2 linked regions of the Callithrix jacchus genome follow. Each later gene encodes a partner of the first gene's protein in a complex. Links are inferred from orthologs where the notes say so. Each region holds a gene or a part of one and is shown on either strand. Other genes may lie near its edges.

Region 1 (8,482 bases):
AAGTTGCTCTATGGCAAGAGACCCATGAATCTGCTGAAATACAAACAATCCTTAGATATCTGAAATGCTTTTAAATTTACAAAGTGCTTTCACATACATCATCTCAATTTATTCTCATGATTTTAAGAGGTAGGTGCCATCATCACCACTTAACATGTAAAAATAATTTTAGAAAACAAGGCCTTGGTCTTCAGTTCACAAGTATATCTTCCAAAATTCACAGTACAGAATCCAACTCATGGGTCAGTTAGAAACATCTAGAAACACATCAATCTCAGGAGAATAAATCAAGAGAAAAAGATGGATCACACAAAATCTATCAGCACAATGGCAAAAAGTGTTCCTCTGTTTTAAGAATGGCGTGAGCTTTGTAAACAATAGTTTTATACAGAGGTGCCTCTGTAGTACCTCTATGTTGGAAGGACATTATTTATTCATACACATGATAAACACTCTTAATTGGACACTCACAGGTGACAGACAAAATAAAACAAGAACTTTTGTCTTAAAATTGTAACGGTGGAATTCATCTTTTGGGATGCACTTAGCTGATTTCTCTGGGAAGACAACTGAGTTACAGGGGGCTAAATGTACCCTCCCCTTTTCCCTCCAATATCACAAAGAGCCTCCGAAAGGTATTTTGCTGTTTTTAACAAAGAAAATACACACTAAAGAAGTCATCTATAGCTTTTATATATAATATCATCTTCCAAAAACACTCATTCTAGCAGTCTCAGTATCTTTTGTCCTTCCTTTCCTTTCTAGCTAAAGCAGAGGTATAATGTGGTCCTATCTTTATAACCATTTACTACCTTCTTTATGTATTTATGATTCTTTGATGCCTTCTAGCTTGAGTCTAACTGCATTGGGAACAAAGCACCACACAAATCACCAGCCTGGGATGAGAGGAGACAAGTAATAACCTCCCAGGAAGATTCTGTAGACACTTAGTCCCTCTGAGTCTGTAGAGAGTTTGGTATTTCAAAGGTCAGTCTTGGGTCTCTCCACTTTGATGACTAATGTTAAACTGTTTGACTTTTTACAAAAATATTTAGCTGTGCTTATTTACATAATTTCATCCTCAGTGCACACAGTAGGCATGTATTTGTTGGACAGAAGCCCTAGATGGATGAGAAAAAAGATCTTTCGCTACACATGATCTCGAGTCGAGAAAGGTAAAATCACAATTCAATTTGTAGAAGTTTCTAGGCATTCCTTTTCAATGCATTTCTGTTTAAAAAGGAAAAGGATGACACAACCAAACAATGTCAACCACACAATGGGGAAATTCCAGGATCACTAAGAAAACACCGTTATCATCCTAAGTCACACATTTTCATTTAATACTGGTTACCACACAGGAGAGACTAAGAACTACTGTTTCCCCACCCACTAGCACAACCCATCTGGGAAGAGCATGGGCAGAACATTTATGATCTAACCATACCACATCTTGGACTCACATTTAACCCTTTGGAGAATTAGTCTAGAGAGTAGTCCGCCCAGAGATACGGGGATAACCGTTTTGGAAGAAATTTTTACGACGCTGTTTGAATTTGGGCATCAGCATTCAAACTCCTTAGACCACCAGGAGTCATTCTTGTTATGAAATTTTAATAAAGAGAAACTGTGAGTATGATTGGCAAAATATTCTGATGTTTTTGCATCTTCTTAACCTGATTGACACTAGGCTCCACCCATAAAATTCTCACTGATTATCACACCGCATCCTCATTCTCCAGTCTCACTCTTTTAAAAATTCCCCAACTGCATGGCCAGGAAAAACATGCGGGGGCTAGCGGGGCATGTCTCGGGTTGGCTTATTCTGTCCCTAAAACGCACCCCCCCCCCTCCCACACACACACCCCAGACCCTCCTTCAGGGCGGGCTGGGAGAAAACACTTCTAAGTTGTACTGCTGTGGGGAAGCCTGTGCACGTCACGTTTTCTGACTTGTCTTTCTGCTCCCCGTCTGGCAAGGTCACCGGCTCTGGCTCGCGGCTCTGTCACCAAAACTTAACTCACGCTGCAAGATCAACAGGTTATGCCAGACCTCCCCAGTCGCCCTCTGCCCCAAACCTTCCTGGGCCTGAGGATTCCCGGCTCGGCCCTCTCCGCCCGCGCGGCCCCAGACGGCTAGGGCGCAGCTCCCGGACTCACCTGACCACGTTGGGGTGTTCGAAGGTCTCCAGGTGCCTCAGCACCGCCACCTCGCGGATGGTGGAGAGCGGCATGCCCTCCTCGCCGGTCTGCACCCGCACGCGCTTCAACGCCACGAAACGGCCTCCGTTCTTCAAGTCTCGGGCCTTGAACACCTTCCCATAGGCGCCCTCCCCGATCTCCGCTACGCATTCGTACTGCTGGTCCGCGCGGCTCAGGCCGTCCTTCTCCATGCCGCCTGGACGCCGCCTGGCGCGGCGCCGCTGGGACCGGTGGGGGGTGCGCTCAACTAGCTGGCGGCCGCTGCTTGCCTCCTCCGGGGCTCCCGGGAGCTCGGTCTTGCTTTTTTTGCCCCCCTGCCGGCTCAGGAGCTTGGGCTCTGGGACTCTCGAGGCTGCGGAGGCTGGATGGAGCGAACTCCCCGCGGGGCTGGTGCAACCCTGGTGCCGCCGCTGCGAAACTCCGCCTGCAGAGTCGCCGCCACCGCCGCCGCCGTAGAAGCGAGCCGATCCCTCCTCTTTCCTCTCCGAAGCGAAGTCCTCAGCACAGACAGAGACGATTACATAGCATCTGTCCGAGCGTGTCTCAGTCCAGAATCATTGCACCTAAAGGAGGAGACGGGAGGATAAGAAGAAAGTGCAATCAGACAGCCCAGAAGCCTTCCTCGGGGTTCCTCCAGACTCCCCTCCTCCTCCTTCACGAAGCCTCCATCGCTACCCTTCGCGCGCTCCTGCCCTCTCCCAAGCCGCTTAATTCTTCCTGGTTCCTCCGAGAAAAGCGAAGTTACTTTTCTTTCCCTGCAGGGCTGAAGCCGTCTTCGCGCGGAGAGGTTGCAGGGGCCCCTCGGGGATGAGCGCGCGGCGCGGGACGCAGTGGAACGGGAGGGGGCGTGCCGAGCAGCCCAGAGTGTGCCGGGAGCGCGGGGGAGGGGAGGCGCCGGGCACGTCAATGTCACGGCTTAATATTTATCCCTATATCATTGTGTTGCGCCGCTACGCTCCCCACCTCCTGAGGCCTGAACGTGCAGGGAGAGAGGGTCCAGGGGTGCCAGAGGACCTTCAGGGGTCGCGCGCAGCTGGAGCGGAAGGACTGTGGGTCCATCCGTGTGGGGCCGCAGAATGCGGGTGGGGGTTCCCAGGACCCTGTAACCCGATGCTGGGAGTGTGCGAGAAGGGGTGGTCAGACATCTGCTCAGAAATTGCTTCCTTTCTTTCAACTTTCAGTTTTTCTACGAGGAGACATTTAAAAACGACTTGCACACACAAATGGTCTTTTTGGGGTAAAGGAGTCCCGGTTGGAAACGAAATTCTCTCTGCGACTGGGAGGAGGACCTCCCTGGTGGAAACCTTGGGAAGACCAGCCATCTGGTCTGGGAGGGTTGGGGCTACTCGGTGGTGGGTGAGCGAGAGGCCCTGGGGGAGGGGAGACCCCCTCACCCACAGGATCCCGAGGGTGGCGTCACCCACAGGATCGCCACACTTTCGCTTGTCGTCTCCTTAAAAGATAACTTCAGGAAGACGGTAGCATAATCGCGCCCGGTCCTGAAGTTTTAAGCTGATTTCGACCTGAGCAAAACTCAACCTCCCTTTCAAAGGGTGGGGGGTGGGAGGTTAAATCCTGCGCCTCCAGGTAAGCGAGAAGGTCTGTGTCTTTGGGGCTCGGACTCGCGAACCTCTTCCCACTCCTAGGACCTCCCGGCTGTAGGTAGCGGAGGCGGCTGCCCCATTCCACCTCCGGCTAAAGGCCAGGTCCAGTCTGCAGCCAGACGCCCCCGGAGCCCTGTGAACAACAAAGCGCCAGAGAAGGGTACCCTAACCTTTCCTCCCCACTCAACAGCTATCTGGGACCAGGGGGCCTCCCTCCCCCACGGCCACCGTGGCCTCGTCAGTACTTTCGCCACGCCGGCCGCATGTCTAGAATTCCCGGGGTACCTCGGAATTACCTGGCCCGCAACTGCTGGCCCGCTTGCCTTTTGCCAGGATTTAAGCAAACGGCACGACCCCACAGTGGGCGGGTGGAGTGGACCGCGGCGAGAGCAGAGATTCTGGCACTCACTCCATTCAGAACTTAAAATCCGAGCAAAGAGCCCCCAGGGACTGCCGGGGGTCTGAGCCAGGTCGAGGGCCACACAGGTAGCCGAGGAGCCGCCACTGGCCGCCCAACCCGCCTCTCCTCCGTTCCCCCATCCCCCTCCCGCTAGAGTCTAGCCCCGGGCTCCGCAGCGAAGGAAGCGTCGAAGGACGTCCCACCCCCACAGGGAACTGTGCCTGCTGCCCCCGCAGGGCCCCGCACGGCCCCGGCTCTCCCCCTACTCGCCCCCCAGAAGGTCGGCCTCGGCGGATAGAAACGGGAGCAGCAATGCCTTTCCCCCCCCCTCCTCCACTTTTTTTTTGTTGTTGTTGTTGCTTTCCCACGCTGGCTGAATGTGACTTGACCCCATTTCAAAAAAGTTTGACATAGTGCTTCAACATTTCCGCATTCCTCCGCGACTACAAAGGCTGCAGCCGCCTCCTTCTGCTTTCTGTCTCTGCTCTCTGTCTTCACACTCAATGAAATCCTTCATGCGCCTCTCCCGAAGCCTGCCAAGCACCGCAAGGGTCGCCACCAGCACAGCGACAAGAGGCCACACCGGGGACCGCGACTCCCGCGTGTGCGCACACGCAGATGCGCCCATGTGCACACGGTCGGGCGCGCTGCGGTACCAGGGTTGCTCACCGCGGGGCGTGTGTTTAACTCCAGTATTTAAAAGTATAAAAGTAAACTTGGAAACTAAAGCAAACGTGCGTCTTCGCGGGTCTCCAAGCCTGGGCACTGGCCGGTTGCGTGCACTCTTCTGTGCATAACACGCCCGCAGGAAGCCTGCGTTAACATTTATCTCGTGGAGGGGAAGGTGGAGCCCACACCCACACCTCAGCGAGCTGGAGGGGGAGCTTTGGTGGGGGAAATAGGGGGATGGAAGCACATTTTCCAGCATGGAGTCCCCAGAGGCAGTGCATTTGAAACCCTAAATGTGAATTATTATGTGAGTGTCCGAGTCGAGTTCCAGTTCCGTTGGAGAAACTGGATGGGGAGTGTTCTGCGTGGGTGTGTGTGCGCATGGATACGTGGAAGCAGGATCTCGGTGTCGTGGGTGTCCCTAGCATGGGATCTCCCCTCTCATCAGGAGATTCCTCTAGCTCCCCAAAACTGGCCCCCGTAACCAACCCCGTCTCAGTTTGTAAGGGGTTAACCAAAGCCGATTCCAGGGAAACACGGGTCCCCCCCCACCCCACCCCACCCCGCCACGCTCCACTTACCCCCACCCACAGTTATGCCTCGGACCCGGGCCAATCTCTCAGATCTCCCCCGGGACCCCCCACCCCGCAGCCCACCCACCCGAGCGCACGGCTCCTCACCTGAGGGGCCCAGTCGCGTCGGGCCTCCTGAGGAGGCTGCGAGTGTCAGTCGGCTCTCCGCACGTGTCCACGGCCTGGCGGAGCAGGTAATCAGACTCTGGGGAAGGAGTTACCAGCACTCTCCGGCGAGGGGGTGGGCACAGCGGCAGAGGGCGGAGGGACGGCGGAGGGCGCCGCCCGCGCGACTCGCTGGGGGCGGACGGGGCCGCGGGGATCCGGCCGGCGCTGGGGGCCCCAGCCGGGGAGGCAGCGTGGGAGACCGCGCGGGGGAGGCGGGGACCCACGAAGGCAGCTCTGCCAGAGAGCCACCCCTCGGCGGGGCTGGGGGCTCCTGGCGCAGAGGCAAGCTGGTGTGCAAATTAAAGCTTTCCGGAGAAAGGGGAGGCGGCCGAGCCCCGGCAGGGCTCTGAGCTCCAGGCTCCCCAGCTCCGGTCTACGCGTCGGGGGCTAGAAGGGCGCGGGGCGGAGGCGGGGGAGTTAAATGAAAATTTCCGGCTTTCACTGAAACTGGAGTAGGGGGATCCCGCTACTAAAATAAGCTGCGTTAGTGGGAGAGAGTGGGGACGTGTCGGGAGTCGGCGGAGTTTCCAAACCCAGGGTCTCCAAGAGTTGGGGTTTTGACAGGGTGAAGTGGGGGTTATCCTCACTGTGTGACGTGGACGGATGGGAAAAACAGAAAACAACCAACAATAATTATGAGGGGCCGATGGGGGTGGAAAATACCAATACTTTACAAGAAACTGAAAAATCAGACCAAAAATTAACTCTTCTCTATTAAAAAAAAAAAAGTTTGGCAGGATGCCTTGCAGAAAAGAAATACTAATCTGTCCAAGCACTTTTCACTTTCAGCATGAGCTACATTTGTTTTGTTTTCCTTCGCTTCCTTTCGGCCTCACAAAGCCCTATATTTTCCTTTTAGAGGATATGGTTTGGAAATTATCAGGCACTCTTATGGTTAACGATCTACTTGAAGGGGCTGGCGGGTTCACAATTATTAAGTGGTCAGTAACTGCTGAGGGTTCACTAACGTATTTCAGAGGAGCTAAAAAGACTAAAATGTAGTGCAAATAATAGAACTGCAGATAGTAGATACATACACACAAAGAGGGGTGCTCAGTTTAAATGCATTATTGGAATTCTGAAATTTGAAACCTGGTAAGAATGTATACTTTACCTGCTGAGAAACCCTTGAATACAATTATTTTAGATGAAAATGAGATTTTGGACAAAAAAAAAGTCTTTAAAACTTTCTACAATGGAGTAAAAGAAAACTTGAAATAGCTGTCTTTTTGGAAAGAATTTAGTGTTCTCCAAAATCTGTATCTGTAGAATACTTGAAACCCTTTAAAACATCTAAAAGCAAAACTTTTCACAAAATTATTTACTTCAGTTCTTTGTAGAAAAATTAAAACCCTGCAAAATTCTGTTTTAGTTGGAAATACTACTTCTATAAATCTTTTGACTTTAAAACCATGTTATTAATCTCACAGTAAATCAAAATTTTGCCTTTATAAAATTGATTCTATATTACAATGTGAGGTGAGGCTAGGGAAATAAAAATTGATGCATTTCCAGTAGCACATATTTTGCAATGCATTATAATACATTTTTTCTAAAAAATAAAGGTGAAAAATTGTATGTCTTTAAGCTTAAGATAATTCATAAAATACATTTTGTGTTAAGAGCATATGTAAAGCTATTTATAATCTCACATACCTTATAAATTGAAGAAAGCAAATCATTAGATTTTATATTTACATAAAATATTAGATGACTACAAATCACTAATTAGACTTTAAGCCAGAGACACAAATGGGTATCCTCCATTTTGGTACTTGTTCACACTTATTTACTTTTTAAAACAAGATTCACTTGCTGGTAATTAACATGTTTATATAATCCAGAAATAATCGCCAGTAAATAGGAACCAGCACATCATGACTAGAATTTATTTGAATAAATCATTTATTTAAAAAATAGCTACAAATATCTTTGAAATTAACAGAGAAGTGTCTTTTCCACACTGGGTTGAATTTTTAATTTCTGAATTTGACAACAACCATTGTTAGATCAGAAATTCCATGATTTAGGTTACTAGAAGATGTGGGCAATGTAAAAAACAATGAAACTTTAATTACATATGTTAATACTGAGTGTTAACTCTCTGTCCTTTTTTCCTGTTATTGCTATCTTCTGTGTTAATTTATTATTGTTCACTCTTCCTGGTTATGGTTCACATTAAATCCCAGTTGGTTAAAGCTTCAGACCCAAGGAAGTTTTACAATTGATTGTATAAAATTAGTAAATACCAGATTATTTTTGTTTATGGATAACTTCTGTTGTGGGTAACAGGTTATCATAACAAAATTTGTTCAAAGTTTATGAACTGTGAACCAAATTCCAACTTCTTTGTTTAGGAGTCTTATGAGAATGAATATATAGGACTCTAGAATAATGACTCCAACCAGTATTTTCACACCACATATCAGATATTCTAAAGTTGCAAATCATCTTACAGGTATTTAAAAATTAGAATTCATGGACTTATTTCCAAATATGGTGGTGTAACTTACACTGAAAGACTTATTAGTGTCACATAAGGAATGTGTTTCATGTGTGAGCATTTGTATATCAAATATCTGTAAAGTTTTGTTTTCACTTAAACAAACATAAAATTTTAAATTCTGGTCTATAATTTTTAACCTTGTTAAGGAAATGAGTAATTTATTTTAAAATAATAATTGCATGATGTATACCTAAGTCTAATTCACTTCTGATTTATATTGGTTATTTGAGTTTATAAAATACATTTTTCAGAAACTCAGAAATGAGATATTTCTATAACCTACTACACATTTCTAGTTTAGCTTTGAAACAAGTTACCCTACTTTTTAACCTGATTTGTGTGTTTGTGTAAATGTTCTTTAT
Region 2 (8,572 bases), on another chromosome or scaffold:
GCTTCTGCCTTCCTCTCTAATCTCGTTGCGTACAGGTTCCAGCTCACTGTTTGGTTCTCCCAACCTTTTACATTTATTTCGGAGGCAGCATTTGCACTCGACAGTCTCTTCCTCCCATAGCTGTCAGTAGATTCCCTGACCACTCTTTAGCTTCTCCTCCTATTCACGCTTCATATTTACCCATTGCATGGGTTTTATAAACTTGCTCTCTGAAAATACATTATCTTGCTCAACGTGTTTCCCAGGTTGGGCACTATAGCTTGGGACTGTAATCCCAGCACTTTAGGAGGCGGAGGCGAGAAGATTGCTTGAGCCCAGACAACATGGTGAGAACCTGGTCTCTATTATTTTTTAAGGAAAAAAAAAAAAAAAAAAAAGCCAGTCATGGTGTCGCATGCCTATGGTCCCCGCTAATCGGGAGGCTGAGGTGGGAAAACCCCTTGAGCCAGGGAGGTCAAGGCTGCAGTGACTCGTGATCGCGACACTGCCCTCCAGGTTGGGCAACAGATCGACCCTGTCTCCAAATGTAAACATCATGAGGGCAAGACTCCCGTTTTGTCTCATTCACCTTGGCGTGCCCATCGCCTAGAACATGGTTGATCACGAAGTAGAATCTAACCATAGATTTAATTGTGCTTGAAAAGGGGGTGTTGGGGAGAAAGAGAAGGAAGGGAGGAAGGAAGGTATGAAAGACTTGTGTGCTTGGATTAAATATCTTCGGTTTGGTTATTAAGAGTCTCAATTTATTTATTAGCTTGTGGCTTAATTCAATAGTTTTACTCCTTCTCCCACTGGGCTCCTCCAGCTTTATGCTCAGCCCTGGAAGCGCGCTCTTTCTACGCGGACCAGGCTGCAAGCTGTAACCGGAGGCAAAGCCCGGGAATGGTGGGGAAGAGGGGCTGAGTAAAGGAGAACTTTGCATCTTCAACTTGGAAGGTGATTTTGCATTCAGTATTTACAGCATCCCCCAGCAGAGGGCTTAGAGGTAACTCTCCAACTCTTCCACCCAGGCTCCCCTATGGCCCAGGGAGCCCAGTTCCCCATTCTGGGCCAAAAAGATGGATTTCAAAATCTTCAAGGTCATGTTTTACCTTAAATATCCGTATTAATTCCCGTGTATTGCTTCATATATCTATTTGGTTTTTTAAAAAACTGCTCCCCCTCCAGAAACAACTGAGTAATGTTGGCACTTCCAGCAGACAGCTGTGAGGGTTAGAAAACTGAGGCCATGGAATGGGGGCAGAGGGAGGATGCTTTGAGATCGCAAAAAGCAAAGGCAAGGAGAACCACAATTCTATCTTCATCGCTCAGCGATCTTCTTACACAAGTTTAAGAGGAAAAGGAGAGGGTCTCTGTCTGCCAGAGTGCTGCACAGTCAGCCATGGTCAGCGAAGTTTTGGTCCTGATACCCACAGAACCCCACCCCCACCCCCCCGGGGCAGCTCTGGAAAACTCTACCGCGTAAAGCGGAGGGTCGGATTAGTTGAGTTGTGTCGTAGAGCTGAGATTCAGCGATCTCCAGATGGTGCCACACACAACTGGGTTTGGAAATCCTAGAGTTGGTCCAGTTACCTTGGTATGCAAATGAGGAACCAGACCCAGTAAGTGGACGCAACTGGCCCTAGTTTGGAGGAAGAGGGAGACTCTTTCTCTAGCCTCTTGAGTCTTCAATGCTCCACAATCTAGGCCTTAAACCATGAGAGGGTAGGTGTTTGGGTGGTGGTATACTTTGGGAGGTATAATTTACAGAATGGGCTTTCACATGCGAAAGTCCCTGTTGTGATTATTTCCCATTTGCTACCCTGGCCCGGCAGCGCGATCAGGAGACTCAGGTTGTCTGATGATTGGCGCGATTGGCACGTGAGCTGAGGCGAGACCTGAGACTGGTCTCCCCTGCTGAACTTTCTCTTCTGGAAAAGGAATGCTCCGAGCTTTGGAAGCTCTCCGGGTACAAATTCTTGTATCACCAGTCCTCACCTGAGGGACCTCCCGCGGCATCTGTGCGGGTAGGGCTACTGCCTGTGGTGCCCCCCGCAGCCGCGCGCAGGTACCCTGCAACGTGGCAGTGGCCCCGCTCCTCAGCCAGGTCCACGGGCAGACGGCCCCAGGCATCGCGCACGTCCAGCCGCGCCCCGGCCCGGTGCAGCGCCACCAGCGTGTCCAGGAAGCCCTCCCGGGCAGCGTCGTGAACCGGTCGGGTGAGAGTGGCGGGGTCCGCGCAGTTGGGCTCCGCGCCGTGAAGCAGCAGCAGCTCTGCCACGCGGGCACTGCCCATCATCATGACCTGTCAGAGAGAGCACAGTGGTCAGAGCCGGGGTAGGGGACAGAAAGGACGCCAATGTGAAGCCCCCTCACCGCCAAGCAGACACCCAGACAAGCCACAGGTGTCTAATTACCCTACTTTTGCTTCCAATTTCCAATTTTCTTTTACAGTTCGCCTATCCATTCTTCAGTACACATTAAATTCCATTATATTCTGCGAACTTGTGCGGAGCTGTAGCCATAGGCAGAGAGCCCTGTGAGACAAGGACAACAGCAAAGGGGCAGGGACAAACTGACTTTTACTCAGGCCTAACTTCCTGTATTTCCCCTGAGATACAACTACTGAAATTTCTTCCTGAAATTATGTTAGGCCTGGAGATTTTCTGTTGTTGTTGTTCACTGCTGTATATCCAAGCGCAGAATGTGGTAATTGTTAAAAAGAGAAAACTTTAAAAAAAAAATACATTTTCACAAAACTTTTTAAGTTACCTTAGCTTCTGGGAATGTTGAACCTCAATTTCTTATATTAGTTTTAAAATTGTATATTGGCATATTATAGTTGTATATATTTATGTGGTACAATATGATGTTATAATCTTTGAACACAATGGGGAATTATTAAATCAAGCTAATTAACCTATCCATCATCTCAAACATTTGACATTTTTGTCAAATGAGAGCATTTGAGATATACTATTTAGCCATATTCATCATGCTGTGAAACACATCTCAAAAAAAACGAGTCAGACTTATTCCTCCCATCTTAACCCAGGTTTTGTATTTTTGATTACCACCTCCCTATTCCTCCCATTCCCCGAGCTCCAGTAACCACCATTCTACTCTCTACTTCGAAATATTAAATTGTTTTATATTTCACGAATAAGTAAGAACATGTGATATTTGTCTTTCCGTGTTTGGCTTATTTCATTTAGCACAATGCTCTCCAATTCCAAAACTTCAATTCCTTCAAATATAAAACAAGATGGCTAGTCTTAATTAGTCCTAAAATTCCTTTCTGTCGTAGGCTGAATAATGCCCTGTCCCCACAAATATCTATGCCCCAATCCTCAACAGCTGTTAATATATTACCTTAGGTGGCAAAAGAGGCTTTGTAGATGTGATTGAATTAATGGTCATGAGGGCGATTATCTGGAATTTTCAGTGTAAGCCCAACATAACCCCAAGTGTTTTTATTAGAGGGTCACAGTCAGAGAGAAAATATTAGAATCAGAGGCCAGAGAGAAAATACAGGGGCCATGATCTAAGGAATTTGATGGTCACCAGAAGCTGGAAGAGACAAGAAAACAGATTCTGCCTTAGAGTTTCCAAAAGGAATGCAGCACTGTGGACCCATTTTTGACCTCTGATCTCTAGAACTATAAAATAATAATTTTGTGTTTGCTTTACTACTACATTTGTGATAATTTGTAACAGTAGCAATAGGAAACTTAAACACTTTCCAGGTTTATAATTTGAGAGTTCATTAAATAAGAGATGGTCACTTCTTTGGTTCCTAAATCATCTTGAAAACAAAGCCATTTCCAAAGAGGAATTTTAAAACACTGTCTGCAGTCATAGCAACCTTAAAATTTGAGTATTATGTGGTAGATGATAGTAGAAGCAGATAATTTATTTTGAGATAACTGTTATTTGTTATATCAGCTTGAGGATGGTGGTGTTATAAAGAAGAATTATTTATTTTTAGGCACATTTTGTATTAAACACAAATTGTATAATTTGCCTAAATCAAAGAATTATACTAAATTATACTGTAGTTACTAAATCCTGTCCTAAGAAAGTGAAACTGAGTTATTTTTCAAGGAGACAAAGAGAAAGTACAAGAAACCAAATTGCAGCTACAAAAAGACAAAATATTGCAGTAAATTTATTGTTTTGTGTGTTCAATGAAGTCCTTCATTTCGGTCATAAAACTAGTCTTAATGGTTTTTCTTATATTTCATAGTATGAAAAATCTAAAAAGTAACCCATATGTAATTATTTAAATCATGATAGAAATCCAAAGCAAAAAGAAAATGAATCAATTGAATGAAAATGTGTAGGATGCTTAAACACATTTAATAAGAAATTAATATGAATTTAGTACTTAAAAATGTTATACAAATAAGTTTCTATATTAAGCATCAATGTAGTTAGGATTCTAAGCCAACGTCATTTCCCCTTTTCTACATGTTCTTCTCCCTTCCCCATTAAAAATTGTCAAAACTATCCACTTTTCTTTTCCCTTTTTGCTTATAAACAAATAAGGTCTCTTCTACAATATTTTAGGGCTACAATGCCAAACTTCCAGGTCCAAGCTGCTGTTACAATTTTAGAGATGCAAAGATACCCAGGCATTAATTACTTTTAAATCATCCCCTAACCCCTCACAAAACTGGAGTGGGGAGAGGAGAAACACTACTTTTCAAAAATGAGGAAATGAAAAATCTCTAAAACTCTATCACAAATAAATTATATCAAGAAAGCTAAAGATAGCAAAAACAGCAAAAATGTCAGCAGATAATCCCAAAATGGTAACTACATATTACATCTGGTGTGATCACATGAATGTGATTCATTATATGCATCTATCTATCTGTATTTCCTAAGTTCCTACAGCAAACATATATTTTTGCCCTACTCACTTAAAAATAAACACAACATGTAGTTGCTTCGGAATAATTTCTTTCTTTTCTTTTATTTATCGGACTTTCACCCTTTCACCCAGGCTGAAGTGCAGTGGTGTGATCTCGGCTTACTGCAACCTCCGCTCCTGCCTCAGCCTCCCGAGTAGCTGGGATTACAGGCGTTTACGACTATGTCTGGCTGATTTTTGTATTTTTAGTAGAGACGGCGTTTCACCATGTTGGCCAGGCTGGTCTCCAACTCCAGACCTTGTGGTCCGGCCGCCTCGGCCACCTAAAGTGCAGGGATTACAGGCGTGAGCCACCGCAGCCGGCCGCTTCTGAATAATTTCGATCATAAATTTATATTCGATATTTATTCCAACATACACGATAGATTATTACTGATAATACCTCCTAGCAAGAAAGATAAGCTCCATCCAGGATTCTGTGAATTCAGGGCTAAATAGTTCCAGTACATCCTACATTTCTTTAAGACTCGCGTTTTATCCCAAACGTTTGTAAATTTTGTATCTGATAAAGAGCATACCTCCATCTAATACAAATATTTCCCCCCTCTTCAGATCCTTACAGCATTCCAGAGATCTGCACGCGCGGGCCTCCTCAATCCTTCCGTGGCTTCCCAGGGCCCCCAGAAGACCAGGTCTTTGATTACAGACCTCTTCTGAAAACTGCGCAGGAAGCCTCTCTTTTTCCAGAATAAAAGCGCTACTTGATTCCCCTGCAAATCTCGTCCTCCAGAGTCGCCTATCACCCCCTGCTCCCGCTACAGGCCCTGTACCCACCTGGATCGGCCTCCGACCGTAACTATTCGGTGCGTTGGGCGGCGCCCCCGCCTCGAGCAGCGCCCGCACCTCCTCTACCCGACCCCGGGCCGCGGCCGTGGCCAGCCAGTCCGCGGAAGGTTCCATGCTGCTCCCGGCTGCTCGCTCCCCGCTCTCCCTCTCTCCGCTCCTGCAGCGCTCTCGCGGCCCGCACTGCAGTCTCGAGACCAGCCCGCCCCTCCTCTTTCTTCCACCCGGGAGGGCGGGCGGAAGAGCCCCCACCCCCAACACCCGGGACGCTGTCCCTCGACTCCTCCGGCGGAACGGCTATATCTTTCCAGGCGGGGGGGCGCCGTTCGCTAGTCCTCCGAGGAGGTGCTATTCACTCGCTGCGAAGGTGGCACCCCTGAAGCCGCCCCAAGGTGGGTCTGCCCCGGGGGCACCAGCCGGAAGCGGCCCTCGCCCGCCGGAGCCCAGAGGCGGCGAGGAAAGGCTGGACTCCTCCCCACCTGCTCCTACACCGCCCTTCGGCAGCCCTGCTCCCGGCCTTGCTACCCCGCCTTCCCAGCAACCGCGCGTTTTCGTCTCAGAGCAAAAAGAAATTTCGCACCCCCCACACCCCTCCCCCTGCCCACGTTTCCTTCCTCCACGGTACAACCTTCCTAACTGCCAAATTGAATCAGGGTATTTGGAGTCACAGGGAAAGTATGGCTTCTTCTTTTACTCATAAGAAAAAGCAAAACTATTCTTTTCTGTTTGTGAGAGCCCAGCGAGGATCAAAATCACCTGTGCGACTGGGAAGCGTCCCCCTACCCTCTCAACCCTTGATTTTCGAGAGCGCCGGGTTCACTAAGTCAGAAATCCTAGTTCAAAGGATTCCTTTTGGAGAGTCGGCCTGCTCTCTCCTTCCCTGCCCCTTCCCCTCCTATGTGCAAAACGGCTGTCTAGGGCGTGGATTTCTCACACATGTGCATTGCCTGGTATAAGGGCAGACTCTGAAAAAATGAGGTTTGCTTAATACGACAGGAGAGAATTGTGCCACGGACAGGGGAGAATTGTACCAATGGGGAGGGAGTACTGGAAGGACGGATTCCATTCTGAGTAAGTCATAATTCCTAGACCAGAAGAAGTGCTCAGTGTTCTAGAGGCAGAGTTGCACAGTGATTCAAAGATCAGCTTTACACACTGTTCTGTCTCCTTCACACGCACATTTCCCCTTCCCACTGAAAATACCTTGCATTCTTTTTTTTAGTTATAAAGGGGTAGGGGAATATGAGTGCCCCCTGCTTTACAGGAGTTGTTGTGAATTTAAATGAATTGATGTATTAATACATATGAACCTTAAGAACAGTGCCGCATACCCTAAGCTAATAATACCTGTTATCTCTTGAATTGTCCATTTTGAGGATTGGCTTGCAATTCTGTGCTTTTTTTTAATTTAAATTTTATTATATGCAATTCTGTTTTGAGGCATGAAAAGAAAATGGTTTGGAGCTGGGCGTGGTGACTCACGTCTGTAATTCCAGCACTTTGGGAAGCCGAGGCAGGTGGATTACCTGAGGTCAGGAGTTGGAGACCAGCTTGGCCAAAATGGTGACACCCTGTCTCTACTAAAAATACAAAAATTAGCGAGGCATGGTGGCGCACGTAATTCCAGCTACTCAGGAGGTTAAGGCAGGAGAATCTCTTGAACCTGGGAGGCGGAGGTTGCAGTGAGCCACCGCACTCCAGCCTGGGTGACAGAATGAGACCCCGACTCAGAAAAAAACAATGGCTTTGGATAGGATTATCACTATTATATAAAAGGAAAGGCCAGGCGCGGTAGCTCACGCCTGTAATCCTAGTATTTTGGGGGGCCGAGGCGGGTGGATCACCTGAGATCAGGCATTGGAGATCAGTCTGTCCAACATGGTGAAACCCCCTCTCTACTAAAAATACATGGTGGCACGGGCCTGTAATCCCAGCTGCTTGGGAGGCTGAGGTAGGAGAGTCTCTTGAACCCAGGAGGCAGAGGTTACAGTGAGTGGTTATCTTGCCATTGCACTCTAGCCTGGGCAACAAGAGTGAAACTCCGTCTCAGAAAAAAAAAAAAAAAAGCAAGAACTTACTCCTTGAAAAGATGATGGAGATGATGGGCACCCTCCACCACCCTCACTTATAATGAAAAGTTAAGCAACACTAAAGAGTATAACAAGTGCAAAGAGGTAAACGTTCTAATTTTTACTGTGACTATTACTTTTTAAGGTTTGAATAACATGTATTTTTAAAAAATGGATTGCTCAGACTCTGATGATGCCTTAAGACATGCTTAACCTTCCTATGGATAATCCAGCTCTGTTTAAAAGTTATATTTCAATCCCTGGTTGACTTAAACTTTGTAGACCCAGCATATCTTGTACTTTAGTTCCTGCCTGATTTTTAAACAGATAGTTTTAAAAATGAAGCCAATGAAAACAATGTAGGATTTCAAGCATGTTATTAAAATCTACAATGCATTACTGTGCTATTTATATTTTCCTTGGGTACTTCTCAATTATCTGTATAGCCATAATATGGAAAATTCAAACTATCGATAAATAAAATTCTTTTGGTTTAGCTTAAGGTATTTTATGATGGAGGAGGAAGAAAGATTGGTTTGAAGGATGGGAGGGAGGGAACACATTTAACACATTTCCATTATCAATATAATGATTCTTAATGGGGGTGGAAGAGTGGAAAAAGTAGGCTCCTTCAAGAGTCTGTTGAAAGACCTGCCCAAAAAAGAAAGCAGGTGGTGATTTTTTTTAAAAAAAGACGTGTTCACTTACACATGTATTTCTGAATAAAACTTTTAGGGAATTCAGAGTCTACCATGGATTCCTACATCAAGAACTCTTATAGCTCTTGTGAAATATATATATATAC

Evidence for each region.
Region 2: the proteins of CDK6 (region 1) and CDKN2A are in contact, whole or in part, in a crystal structure (PDB 1BI7), measured with the Homo sapiens proteins. The link is inferred for Callithrix jacchus from reciprocal best matches to the Homo sapiens genes CDK6 and CDKN2A. Residues at the interface, in NP_001138778.1 of Homo sapiens: Glu14, Cys15, Val16, Ala17, Glu18, Ile19, Phe28, Lys29, Arg31, Leu33, Asn35, Gly36, Gly37, Arg38, Phe39, Arg44, His100, Asp102, Gln103, Asp104, Thr106, Thr107, Asp110, Lys111, Gln149, Thr154, Ser155, Leu166, Ala167, Arg168; in NP_000068.1 of Homo sapiens: Thr18, Ala21, Arg22, Gly23, Arg24, Glu27, Asn42, Tyr44, Arg46, Gln50, Val51, Met52, Met53, Met54, Gly55, Ser56, Arg58, Asp74, Ala76, Thr77, Thr79, Asp84, Arg87, Glu88, Gly89, Phe90, Asp92, Asp108, Trp110, His123.

What each region holds. Positions count from the first base shown.
Region 1 is NC_133512.1:56,783,526-56,792,007, reverse strand, and holds the start of CDK6 (cyclin-dependent kinase 6), read right to left. Parts: upstream 5,647-8,482; 5' UTR 5,555-5,646; exon of another isoform or gene 2,765-5,554; 5' UTR 2,393-2,764; coding exon 2,160-2,392; exon of another isoform or gene 1,980-2,159; intron 1,630-1,979; exon of another isoform or gene 1,468-1,629; intron 1-1,467. UniProt on the Homo sapiens protein: Serine/threonine-protein kinase involved in the control of the cell cycle and differentiation; promotes G1/S transition. Phosphorylates pRB/RB1 and NPM1.
Region 2 is NC_133502.1:128,968,846-128,977,417, forward strand, and holds the start of CDKN2A (cyclin-dependent kinase inhibitor 2A), read right to left. Parts: upstream 5,892-8,572; 5' UTR 5,816-5,891; coding exon 5,690-5,815; intron 2,285-5,689; coding exon 1,978-2,284; intron 1-1,977. UniProt on the Homo sapiens protein: Acts as a negative regulator of the proliferation of normal cells by interacting strongly with CDK4 and CDK6. This inhibits their ability to interact with cyclins D and to phosphorylate the retinoblastoma protein.